2 linked regions of the Neodiprion lecontei genome follow. The protein of the gene in region 2 interacts with the protein of the main gene of each other region in a pairwise test. Links are inferred from orthologs where the notes say so. Each region holds a gene or a part of one and is shown on either strand. Other genes may lie near its edges.

What was found.
Region 1: the proteins of regulator of MON1-CCZ1 complex (region 2) and abl interactor 2 interact in a two-hybrid assay, tested with the Caenorhabditis elegans proteins (2 studies listed by BioGRID). The link is inferred for Neodiprion lecontei from reciprocal best matches to the Caenorhabditis elegans genes Y50D4A.4 and abi-1.

The regions. Positions count from the first base shown.
Region 1 is NC_060263.1:284,380-290,986, reverse strand, and holds abl interactor 2, read right to left. Parts: upstream 4,597-6,607; 5' UTR 4,449-4,596; coding exon 4,436-4,448; exon of another isoform or gene 4,419-4,435; intron 4,392-4,418; exon of another isoform or gene 4,256-4,391; intron 3,707-4,255; coding exon 3,038-3,706; intron 2,916-3,037; coding exon 2,580-2,915; intron 1,994-2,579; coding exon 1,736-1,993; intron 1,642-1,735; coding exon 1,478-1,641; 3' UTR 642-1,477; downstream 1-641. Other genes in the region: TELO2-interacting protein 2, read left to right, coding at 4,882-5,454, 5,753-5,881, 6,156-6,314, 6,391-6,607.
Region 2 is NC_060263.1:20,634,029-20,640,354, reverse strand, and holds regulator of MON1-CCZ1 complex, read right to left. Parts: upstream 4,344-6,326; 5' UTR 4,163-4,343; coding exon 4,043-4,162; intron 3,968-4,042; exon of another isoform or gene 3,937-3,967; coding exon 3,631-3,936; intron 3,516-3,630; coding exon 3,341-3,515; intron 3,266-3,340; coding exon 3,106-3,265; intron 3,025-3,105; coding exon 2,919-3,024; intron 2,696-2,918; coding exon 2,542-2,695; intron 2,465-2,541; coding exon 2,401-2,464; intron 2,313-2,400; coding exon 2,093-2,312; intron 2,019-2,092; coding exon 1,849-2,018; intron 1,738-1,848; coding exon 1,462-1,737; intron 1,361-1,461; coding exon 1,103-1,360; intron 955-1,102; coding exon 945-954; 3' UTR 593-944; downstream 1-592. Other genes in the region: transcriptional regulator ATRX-like, read right to left, coding at 20-136, 244-333; cytochrome c oxidase assembly factor 3, mitochondrial, read left to right, coding at 5,030-5,290; dimethyladenosine transferase 1, mitochondrial, read left to right, coding at 5,393-6,020, 6,155-6,308.

The sequences.
Region 1 (6,607 bases), about 20 Mb from region 2:
TGTATTGTTGGCGAAAATTTTCGCGATTTTCAAAAGTGCTGGAATAAATTAATTGTGGCTCTATTCCAACGCAATCTTGCGGGAGAAATCGATTGGGCGCAGTCCCAATACGCTGCGATCAACGCATCGAAAGTTACAGCCAAAAAACGAAAACCTGAATTTTCGACATTTTTCAGCAGGTGCTTTCTTCCTTGTATCTTCTCTCCCGTTGATCCCACGCTTCTTTTGCTGCGTTTTCTGAGTTCCTTGGGGTCCAATTGGTCGGAAAAGAGTCATACGAATCAATTCTGAGACGAAAAATTTTCTGGTCAAAAAAAAAAGAAGGTTAACCCCTTTGTATTTTTGGCGAAAATTTTCGCGATTTTCAAAAGTGCTGGAATAAATTGATTGTGGCACTATTCCGACGTAATTTTGCGAGAAAAATCGATTAGGCGTGGTCCCAATGAGCTGCGATCATTCTGTGAAATGTTACAGCCGAAAAACGAAGAATTTTATTCGCCATTTCTCTTCTGTTGGTCCTACGCTCTTTCCGTTGCGTTTTCTGAGTTCCTGGGGTTCCAATCAGTAAGGAAAAGATTGAATGTTATCCCAAATCATTAAGTTTTCGCTCGAAAAAAAGGTGAATCAAGTGAAGACCCGTATGCTGAATATTTCGTTTATTCAGAGTAAACAAGGTTCCATTCAATCTTATGTAGTTTAACAATCGCAGTCTATTATGTGTAATCCTTACGCATAGAAGTATCCCACGATTAGCAAACAACTTGAAAAGATGGGTATAATGTCAACTTATACACTCATAATATAGCTATCCTAGGCCGCTCTGATATACCTCCAGGCATATAAAGCGATTTACTACACCTAATAAGTAGACTATTATTTTATGATATAGGACACAATTACTTGTGACCTACAATATATTTTTCTTCAGTTTGGTATATAGAATGTACTCTTTACTAATTTCATACAAAAAAAAAAAAAATTATTCACCCAGATCGATTTCATTGATTATTTTACATTTCAAATATTAGTCTAAAGTTACAGGAGTTGCAGAGTAATTCTTTTTTCAGGATTCATAGAAAGTTCATGACACTACGGAATTATTTTCTCAGAAGAGCCAAGGAGTAAAACAATAATTACGAATTAATTTACTGAAGCCATATGTACGATATTGTTTCCGAAGTGGTCTGGTAACAAAAACTACAAGGATATCAGTTTCAATGAATCGGCAATATAGCGCGTTTGGAGATAGCCTCGCATTTGAAATACCCGCAAAGATCTCGTCACTTCATATAACAAGCGGAACAAACACGTACGAAATAGTGTTCAAATGCAAAGACTCTTGGACCGCAAAAGTGCAGTTTCAAATCACTGATTCATATATCGTACAACAATTTTGTAACTGTAATATTCGATTATTAACCACTAGTACTCATCATACAAAAACTAATTGATCCAAATTAGAAAGGAAATAGGTATTCTAAACGCAGGGTTCTACGTAGTTCCCAGGAAATAGTCCAGTTATTCCATCCATTACGCCTTCCCACCATCCATCGTCATTCTTCTTCAAAACATAGATAACCGAACTCTCTTGGAAGCTCAATTCATCTTCTTTATCGGCATAATAATCATAAATGGCCACCACTGGAACAAGACAAAACGAACCTCCTACATTCCAATCATAAAACGGGGATAAAACTGATTAACGTAACTGAGTATTCGGTTTTATAATTTATACCTTTCTCAATATAGTTCTTTGGTACCCATCCAGGTAAGTCTTCCTCATCTGGCACAATCGGCATAATAGCACCAGATGGTTGCTGTGGTCTTCCAAATTGAGAATGTTCGTCGTGTTCAGGGGGTGGCGGTGGAGGCAATGGAGGGCTGCTTGCTCCACTGCTGCGGCTAACTTGATGAGATAGTCGATGCGGCAGAGTATGGTGACCACTGTAATTAGTCATTTCACCCCCAGAGCCAACTAGCGGCGAGGGAGGTGCTGTAAGATAAAAAAAAACATGATATGCAGATCATCTGCAAGTTAATCTGCATTTAATTATTAAGCAAAATCAGAGAATGTGTGCAGGAAACTATTTTATCACTGTTTCTGTTGTTCTGGCCATACAAGCCAACAGAACTCGCGAAACACAAGCCAGGGAAGGCTGTGACAATACACAACTGACAATTACTATTTTCTGAGAAATCATGCCAAAAATTTTTATCGTATTAATCATTCATTGACAAACAATAGTACATTGTGCATCAAGTAGGTAAAGTGGGTCCATTTACGCTGAGTGTAAGTTTACAATATAAGATGCACACGATACTTTATATACCAAGTATATCGCTTGCGCATAGATTGTTATCATAAAGTACACCAAAATGCACTTTTGAGTACTAGAACATCAAACTGCTTTGTTCTTGTACTTTAAGTTTGGAACGCAGTCAAAAAAAGGCGAGTAAATCATACTTGCATTACATATAGCATAGTTTAGTAGTGACAATACAACATATGGATCAATACCTGACGTTAGAGCTCGAAGTTAAATTATTTAAGTCATTAAGAGAATTATAAACCTACTTACGTGGCATGCTGTTGAGATGTTCTTGGACATAGCCTGCAGCTCCAGTGATACTGGGTGGAGCGGGAGGTGGAGTTTGCGGATGGCTTTGAAGTGGATGAACAGTTCCAACTTGGGGAGGTAGAGTGTGTTGAGTAAGAGTAGCAGTATGAGCTGTATGCTGAAGCCCATGAGAGGGATGCGGGGTGGTATGAGCGTGGAGTGGCAATGTACTATAACCGGGTCCTCGTTCCCGTCTAGGATGACCTAAGGGGTAATTGGGTGCATAGTGACTGGGAACTTGGGGTGGAGCCACTGCGGGTGGTGTTCTGTACTCACGGGAGCCCTTACTCAGTGTTCCTGAAAACAATAAGTGCCAATAGAAAGTTGATCAAAAATATTTAGAAAATATTTTGAATTCTAAAACTATTTGGTTTAGCTATTCAATGGCTACATCTCTGTTATTAAAACGAACTGATTACCTGTTCGGACTGTTTGTGGTGGAGTTGGTGGCTTCGTAGTAGGTGCTGGACCCACAATGACTGCACCTAAACCAGAACCAGTCGAAGCGGCACCGAGACTTTGTACACTGCCCTGGCTCCCCCCACGCTGTTTGCTTCTAGGAGTACCTCCGCTTCGTACACCATGACCAATCTCATCCAAGATGGTGTAATCAATGCTTTTCCTTACATATTTTATAGGTTTTTCAGGATTTGCCGGTGCAATAATCTTATACTGTCTCGTGGTCATTTTGTTCGCAGTAAGAACACCTATTTCCCTTCTGGCAACCTTTTCCTTGTGAATCATAACTGTCTGAGCAATGTGGTTCATCTGACTTTCCATTTCCGCAAGTTGCGAAGTCTGTAGATCCAACAACTGCAGAAAGTTATAAGCCAGCGTGTTTATTTGATATGCAACACTGGCAAGTGACTGAGTTGTGTAATTTTTAGTTTCTTCAAGAGCTAGCCGTTTGTTCTCGGCTTGGAAATAATTTGCCTCGCAATACTCTGCTACTCGCTCCAAATTTGTGTGACTATCGGCCAGGTGGCTTCTCCCATCGGGGATTTCATGGCGCAAAAGTGCCGCTAATTCTGCCATTACTTCAGAATCGCTTCCCACTCCTGAAGACACACGATACGAGTCTGAACTGCCTGCAATAAATTAAAAAATCAGTCAGTGTTGATCGCCTATTTTTCTATTAAAAAATAATGAGTATATTTGGATGCACATACAGGGTTGCCAAAAAAAAAAGGAACCGTAACTCTTTGATAGGCTCAGAATTTCTGATAACTTCGCATCGCAACAAACTATATAAGACCAATACTATTCTTAACCCTTAGTTAGATTTGTTGCTAGTTAATTATTAATTGAGAAGGTTAAGCCTGTTTCTCTAATTAATTACAAAACATTTGTAAGATAGGCAAAGCATAGCTGTGTGACAATTTCAGGTCTGCAAAAAGATTCAATTCTTAATGAATAATTGCAATTACTGTGAAGAGAGGATGCGAGTAAACTGTAGTTATTGATAACAAGTGATAGGTAAATGGGAAAGAATGTTTATTATTGCTGTTTTGAACATGCGAGAATTTTTTAGGAGCAAGTGAATTCAACAATACAGAGACAATCTCTCGGCCTAAAACGAATATTGATAGGTGATGAATATTAATTAGGAAGAGAATGGTGTCGAAAATGGTGCTTACGAATAGAGTCGCGGTCAAACAGGGTGAAGTGAGCAATTACAAGATACGTGTCAGTGTGGTTACAATCAAGATGGGCGTGACAATGCGTGTGCCTCACGTCAAAAGCAAACGACAGCGCGGATACTGTGGAACTGACGTAGGAAAAAGTAGCTAAGAAAAATATTTAGAAAATAAACTAACGGTACTCAGCCATTATCAACAAACAGCTACTACTGCTGGTTGCATTAATTCATATTTACCGATATTCTCAATCAATATATTAACCAGAGAGTATTATCAAAAATCAAATAATCAACCGATGCTCACTATGCAGCACTACCGTAGCGTAGGAACCGAATTTAGTGAATCCCGTTTATAGTCTATGCTCAATGATCCAACATCCGTATTAAGCATGGTCTACGGTCTATGTTCGACCGATCGGCCCTCGAAACATAACTCGAAAATCGAAAATCGGACGATCGCGCCTCGCTGATCGACTCTGTCCCTGCGATATGCGTTGTGCGGGATGGTAGAAAATCTTGAATCAAATTTTAAGGTTAACAGATAGAGGAGCGGTCAAACTCTTTTTTTATAGTCCTCCAGGGCGCTGCCGCAATCTTGTAATTTCTAGGAAACCGATCCGCTCTATGATGAACGACCTGCTCCGTGAATTGGAGTCGATGAAGATAACTGGCAACACATTAAACGACGATTTATGGAGAAGTTGCGTTCAGCTGACCGAGGGCACGTTGGTACCGTGTAAAAAAATTGGAAATGAACGACCCTGCGAAGAAAAGGATTACAGTGAGTACAGGCAGATCGTAAACAGAAATTTGCGGAATGTGGAGGCTACGCTTCGTCACGTAGCAACGACTTTTGGGGAGCAAAACGTCAGGGAAACTGCATCGCGGAGTCACCCCCTTCGCACTTACCTGATAAACTTGATTATCATCATCGGCGAACAGAGCGAGAAGAACGTGTGGAACACCGCAGAGTCGGTGTCCATAGTCAGCTCCATTCAATCTAACCTCTGCGATCTCTGCAAGTGTCGATCCATGTCCGAGCTATTAGTCGGAAAGGGAGGCGAGGGATCTAGTGTGGATGGCAGTGGCGTAATTGAGGCAGTGCTCCTCGTTCTTAGGCCAAAGCTCTTCAAGGATACTTGGAAGAATTATCCTGCGGCTGTAATTTGTTACAAGTGGATATTATGGCAAGTAGAGGTTGGTCAAACCCCTGCACTCATGACTTTTGGTTAGTTATGTGTTGATATCAAAGAATTTCTTTCAGTTTCAAAGTTTGTAACAACAACGTAACAAACATATGAAAATAAAGTCATCTCTGGAAAAACTAAGTATATGGAATAATAGATTGAATGAGCTTCAAGTTTGCTTTTAAATAATAACTTATTCTCAGTTCCACTCCTAAACCGTGAAACATTTCAAGTAACTGAATGTCATGTTCACATTTTGTGGCAGCCAACGATATCATCTCCAACCTCATGCATTTTTGTATTTACAGGAACCTAATCTTGTCCGTCACATGAACAGTATAATACCAACCGCGCTGATAATCTTGGATGATTACGTTGTTGAAAATAGACTGACTGGAATAAAATGTATTGGGAAGATTTTACAACACGCACAAATGGTAGTGTATTTTCTAACTACAGTTAATTTCTTTGCAATGAAGTTACTGGTACTAGCAGGCATTGATAGATCACCTTTTTTTAAGAAAAATTGTTACAATACTTTGCTTTTTAGAACCATTTAGATATACGCGAACCTGCGAACTCTACGATTACTAATGATAGACTTCTTTTGACCATGATGAGGGTGACTGAACTCTTTTTCAATCTGAAAGAATGTGTAAATCACACAATCTTAATACTGATAAATTGGTACTAGGATCACTGCATTTTCAGAGGAAAGAGCTTGTGGATACTGGATACGCAGAGGTGATATACGATGCCTTGAAGAGGTTGTTAATTATTCGAGAAGTGGCATACATTATCCCGTTGTACTCTTGCATAAGGAGCCTTTTGTCAACATTGGAATACTACAACAACACAGATTCTCTACAAGTACGAATAATATGCCTATAGACGGATTCCCTTCTACCAACATTCTTATCAGTATTTCATAATTGTTTTAATTAAGCAAAAAACTTGCCCCTTACAGTGGACTATACGAGATGACGTCATCTTGTCGTTACTGAGTAGTATGGAGTTCGAACAAGATGCCCATTTGCGACATGCTTACATGTCCAGCTTGCCAGGACTCTTGACCAATATCGGGTGTGCCAAGTGGTGCGAAAGATTAACGAGGATTTTGTCAGAGTACTGTGAGCACCATACAGATCTCAAAACTCTGAAAG
Region 2 (6,326 bases):
TGACAGCCGTTTAGCTCACCTTTATGTTGTGCCAATCTGGTTCATAGCTGTGCATGTAATTTACAATTTCTCTCGCATTCTCAGCGTTCAATTTATCGAATAGTTTGTCGAGTTTTTCTTTGCTGGGTTCGACGAACTGAAAAATGCGGCAGAACAATTACGATTTAATCGATCTTAGCGATACGGATTCAATGATAAAAAATTTTCTACGCATAGTTTACACTTTACGCAATTGATCTTCACCTCGTTATTTCTCGCTAATTCACTCAGTACTTGTTTATTTTCATCAATTGTATTCACTCGTTCAATTAGACCTCCGACCATCATCGCCATTTTGATAATTCTACCAGCTATCACTTTGCCTCTCTGAAGTTGTAGAGATTGGCTTCGGCGACAACGTGAATGTAGCTATTATTGCGTACTTTAAATCAGTTCGTTATGCATTCGGTGAAAAGTTTGTGGATAATGAGAGACGTTCGATTTTTTGTCAACTTGTCATTCGTGGGAACCACAAAGTAATAGTAACTTCGTGATGGGAACGAAAATATACCAGACTTATTCCATGCGGTAATATTCAGTCAATAATAGTAAATTCAAAAACAAATATTTTACATATATTATCCTCATAATAACATATCCCACGGAAATGTTTTTATACAATATTATAATTTACACAACAGAGCTTCAAGCAGCACCATTCTCAACACAGCATTAATTATAATGTATCACAGAACAGTACGAGAAATGAAACGGAATGACCGTAAGATTACAAATAGTTTGCTAGTTCCTTACTTTCTGCATTTTTCTGGTTTTCCATGCATGTTTATCATCCTGTTCACAAATTTCACAAATTCTTGATTGCACTAGTCTTGTGAATTGTGGGCATTGAACAAAAACATAAGCGTGATGATACGCGAATGCTGAGTTAATTATTCCTGATAATTTCAGCCAAACCTTAAGGTAGAGGAAAAAAAAAATAATACCATTTGATTATTTGGTACATAACCATGGCTGTTTCTATTATAACTCGCTATTCAATGCATGACCAAATCAATATGTATAATTGTGTTACGATTAGCAAATAAATTGCGATTCGACCTACGATGACATAGTCGATACATTTGAATTTGTATCTGAATTACAGCCGTTGTCAGTTCCTTGGAATAAATATTTAAAATGCTGTACATATGTTTGACAATGTTCCCCTCTTGTGAAAGCAGTTGTGTTATGGAGTCTCAAATTGCGATTTTCGAAGAACTTATAAACGGAGTGAAACAACTTAGGATCGTTCGAGGTCTTTGCTGCTTCCAAAAATTTGCGAGCAGAAACCTGATCGATTATTCCGACCGATCTGACATACCTGTAATGGAAAGATATGTATTTTCTCCAGGCGGATCACCTTGAAATATGAAATTTCATTTTTACAATTGTAAGATGCATTTTCAAGGGTGTTCAGCTCACCGTAATGCCGGTAATATGTGTCCTTTGGATAGCAAGACTTCCATTATTTCTTCGTGAGCATTTCCTAATCGCTTGAGCATATCTAGCGCAAGTTGGTGAGCAGCTGGATAGAGACTTTCCAAAGACAGTAGAAGACAGGCGAGTGGTTTTGAGTCAGCGACAACGTGATACTGTAGCAACTGATGCAGCTGATAGTAAGCCTTCCGGTGAACCAAAGTCGTGATTACCAATTCATGGAGGTAGTGCTGAACAGGTATATCATGATCGGCCAGAGACCTAAGGAAAAAAAATCGGAGAAAGTTCATTGAGAGATTTTATACCCAGGGAGCTATACGCTGAAAAAAAAAAAAACTCTTTTCAAACTACACTTTTCGTCAAGGCATGTACCTAATGTATTCCAACAGTATCCAAACCACCATTTTTGGCTCTGTCGTGTCCTCGGGAAACTTTGACAATATGTAAGTGTACATATCGCTCTGATCAATTATTTGTTTGTATTTAATGTTTTCTGACACTGTGGCGACACCTTTGGACCCAATTTGCAGCGGCGTTCCCATCTGTCGATTGATCGATAGAAGATGAATGTGCAATGGGTTTTTTATCGCTATTATTCATCACAATGGTCACTTACTTGGCTTTGCAACTCATTTTCGAGGTGGTTACGATAAACAGTGTTCAACTTATCAAAAATCGTTGACATGTACAACAAGCTTGACGGTAGCTGAGTAACATTTTCCTTCACAACTTGCATCAAAACCTGCTTGGAATCATTTCGTTGCATTAAAAACTCAACGAGCAGTACTTTGTCGGGGATTAATTTTACCAACGATTCAAGTCGCAGCTTAACAAACCTGTGAATTAATCGACAACTTCTTTACTCCATGCATCTTTTAAACTCCTAGATTGAAAACAAGTTGAATATTTTTCTCATAAACTTACCAAAGGCATCCTAATTTTGCATCGATTATTATATTTGGTTGAAAAACAACCCAGCCAGGGGAATCTAAGAGAAATTAAGTAAAACGCTTGGTGATCAATGTTGTTATTTTTATAATCATTATCTTTTTTTCAAAAGGATACAAAGTAGACAGGGCTGAGATAATTGCTCTAGCAGAGTCGTGCCAGGGACCTTCAAACTGTATGGTCTTATCGGCTTGGGTGCAGCTATACTGGTATGATGCATCACAGTGCCGTCGCTCACTCCCGGCAATTTAATGTCAAAAATCATCGAAGTCTGTAATTTATCAATCAATTACTCTCGAGATAAAACTCAAAGACTGCCATGTTTCAATGGTAAGAAAAAGTGCTTCGAATTGGTTCACAATCAGTAATGAAAAATGATGCTAAACTGCTTCTATAAAATAAGCAGTACATATCAGCAGATTTATCTCCTACCAGTCAATAGTCTGAAAAAAATACCGTTTTCAAAAAGGTAGTTCTTTGTGAACAAGACTTACTTCGGATGCTTGGTGATGCACAATTATAAGATTGTCGATAACATTGATTGCGAATCGGCCACTAGTGTCGAGTTTTAAAATGTGGCTCTTCTTTATCGTGAGCATTCTGAAACATTGGATCATCAATGAATCATTGAGAGTACTTTGAAAGAGGTAAAATCGGAGAAAAAGCAAATTACAAAATTACTTATGCACTGTGTAGACGTAGACTTGAGCCGTACCAAGGCTTCGATTGATTCCTGGTTGATGGCGCAGCACAATTATTGATGGGGTTCCGTAAAGAACTGCCAACGCTACATCTCTCTCCGAAACTGCGAGCTTCCCAGGTTTCGTGGCTCCAGCCTCCACTGAAACAATGCAATATCTATCTCCGTTAATCGGCTAATCAATCTCCAAAGTTAATCCCGAGAAGTTTGTCTCACTTTCAAATTTGGTGAGCTTGTGCAAGTTTCCAGGAGTGATATGCAGCGCTTGCATTTGGTTGCCGATGGTACCAGACGAGAGGAGAACGAGGTAGCTTTGAGGGCAGAAGACAAACCAATTGACTCCCAAACTGAGGGATTTCAGTGCTTTGACAGTTCGCTTCTCTGGAACCACCTAAAAAATATAGAGTATTATTGATCTAACATCTACACAGACTTATATGGTGCTTTTTACAGTGATCACACATGGAGGAAAAGTAGGTAGAAAAAAATCTCTGCCTGATACTCACCAAAAACAGTTCCACTCCGTGATCTGTGACGAATAAAATTTCATTGCTGTGTGTCCAGACGAAGCCTAAGATAGAGGCATTCTTTCCTTTACAAGTCTGCGAGTATTCCACATTGTCCAATCCGGAGGCCGATGAGTAATTGATGAACTCGACAGAAGTATTAGTCCGTTGTATAGCAAGGATGTTCATGTCGAGCGAGAACTTGATTGAGATTATGGGACCCTTGTCTTCCATTCTGAAATTCAAATTGTGCTCCGGACCCTTGACCAGGACCCCGATAACGCCCTCTGAACGAACAGCGAATACCTACAGCATGAATTTTGCAGCTGTCAAGGGGCTATCAAACGAGGGATAATCCATCATTAATATTTTAGGTTATCAATGCAGTTTAAGAAAATCCAAATAAAGAGACCTGCTTGTTCGTGTCATCGAAGAAAACATTTGTCAACGGGCTGATCGATTCGAATCTCACAGGATCAGGCGACAATTCGAGGTAATAATCATCGTTTCCTTCACTACTTGTTGATTCCATTTTTCGCTATTTGACAGCTCGCAGAAGACTAACACAACCTGATTCACACGTATCAGTAAATTCGCTTACACAGCAAAAGCCACGTCATTGGTTATTTCCAATTTACTCGAAGATACAATTGGCTGAAAACATCAGGGCTCCTGCGACTTGTCATTAACGAAACTACCTATGGATGATGGTCGGTGAGAAAGGTACAACTGCAATCGTCGCTATATGGTAGGTGACGATTTGTGCAATGGTAGCGTCGTCTAGCGGAGATTGAAGATTCTAATAAAACTGGGCCTCATCATCATCACATTCTAATGCCATCATGGTGACAATCGACGTAACCTACGTGTGTTGAAGATCATCCCATAAATTCTGCAATATAGAGGTGAGTCATTGCAAAATATCAACGGTTTTTACGATTAAGTAATGTGGTTCGCCGTTAACGGTTCCGATTAAGTATCGTGGTTACAAATGTCCCGGTACTTGGAGCGTAGGTACAGACTCCGCGATGTTCTAACCTCTAATTGCGATCCCACGACAATTTATTGATGATCACTAATCAACCGGGGAATTTTCAGTTTTCCAATGATTTTTCTTATCCCCATGATAATTTTTCCCAACTATCAGCTTTGTTGCCGTTTAAATAATATCAATATATTTCTAGTCATTTAGTTGTCACAAAGATCGTTCTTATTTCATTCTTACAGTAAACGATACTATAACTTGTATTGAATCGAATGATAATAAAAAAGAACTTCTACAAAACATAGAATATTGCTTGTATACAACGGCGCAATCACAAAATAGGATAAAAATGAATAAATGTTTTTTTCGTTTCATTTATGAAGCTTTGTTCACTCGTTTTCAGATCGTTGTGCAATGGCTGATGAGCAGATGCCAAAAATCCATGAAGGGAAAAACTTTCGTAAACTAACGCTTGTCGAACAAGAGTACATGCGACTTATAGAAGAGAGGAATCTTGAGAGAGTGGCCAGCTTGAAACGAATGCAAAGAAACAACAGATATACCGGTCTAGCGCTAGGAGCATTGGTTCTAGGAATATACGGGTACTCCATGTATGCAGTTCGCCAGGAAAATTTCCTTGATGATTTCGAAGAGCCAGTAAAAACGACAGAATAACAATTATCGTGAAGGCAACGATAATATAGGATTAGATATATTCATAGGTTGTTACGATCTAACATTGAAAAAATATACAGAAAATAATAAGTTCACACCAAAATGACCATTCTAAGATTACCTCCGTTGCCCACAATAAGAGATTTGGTTAAACTGTATCGCCTTCAAGCGCGTAAACAGTTGTCCCAAAACTTTTTAATGGACGAACGTCTCACAGATAAAATCATCAAAACAGCAGGTAGAATAAAAGATGGACATATATTGGAAGTCGGACCTGGACCAGGGGGATTGACGCGATCGATAATGAGAAAGTATCCACAGAGGTTAATAGTAGTTGAGAAAGACAATAGATTTTTGCCTACGTTGCAGCTACTCCAAGAAACATTTCAAAACGTCAATGGCGAAATGGAAATAATCATAGGAGATATATTGAATGTAAATTTGAACTTGTTTCCTGAGTGTGAGAAAAAAAGCTGGGAAGATATTCCACCAAGGATTCATTTGATCGGTAATCTACCATTCAGCGTATCGACTCATCTTATTATCGTCTGGCTTAAAGCTATCTCTGAGAAAAGTGGACCGTGGGCCATGGGAAGAACCAAAATGACACTCACATTTCAAAAGGAAGTTGCTGAACGCCTCGTCTCAGAAGCATACGCTCGGGATCGCTGCAGATTGTCAGTCATGGCACAGACTTGGACCAAACCGCATCTAAAGTTTGTCATTCCCGGTGAGTAAACATTTTGGTTTTGCTAGTACTGTATTAATTTAAAGCAGAGACGTTTTTATGCTTATATTTTTGGATGGATCGACTCAGAATTCACTCAAAAATTCCTCATCTCATTACCACCTGTTTTGCTGCAGGCAAAGCATTTGTTCCACAGCCTGACGTGGATGTCGGGGTTGTGACATTTACACCGCTGGTACAGCCTGGTACAAACCATGAATTTGATTTATTTGAAAAAGTTACCCGGCACATGTTCAGTTTTCGTCAGAAATACGTTATCAAATGTATAGAGTGAGTATACTGGAATTT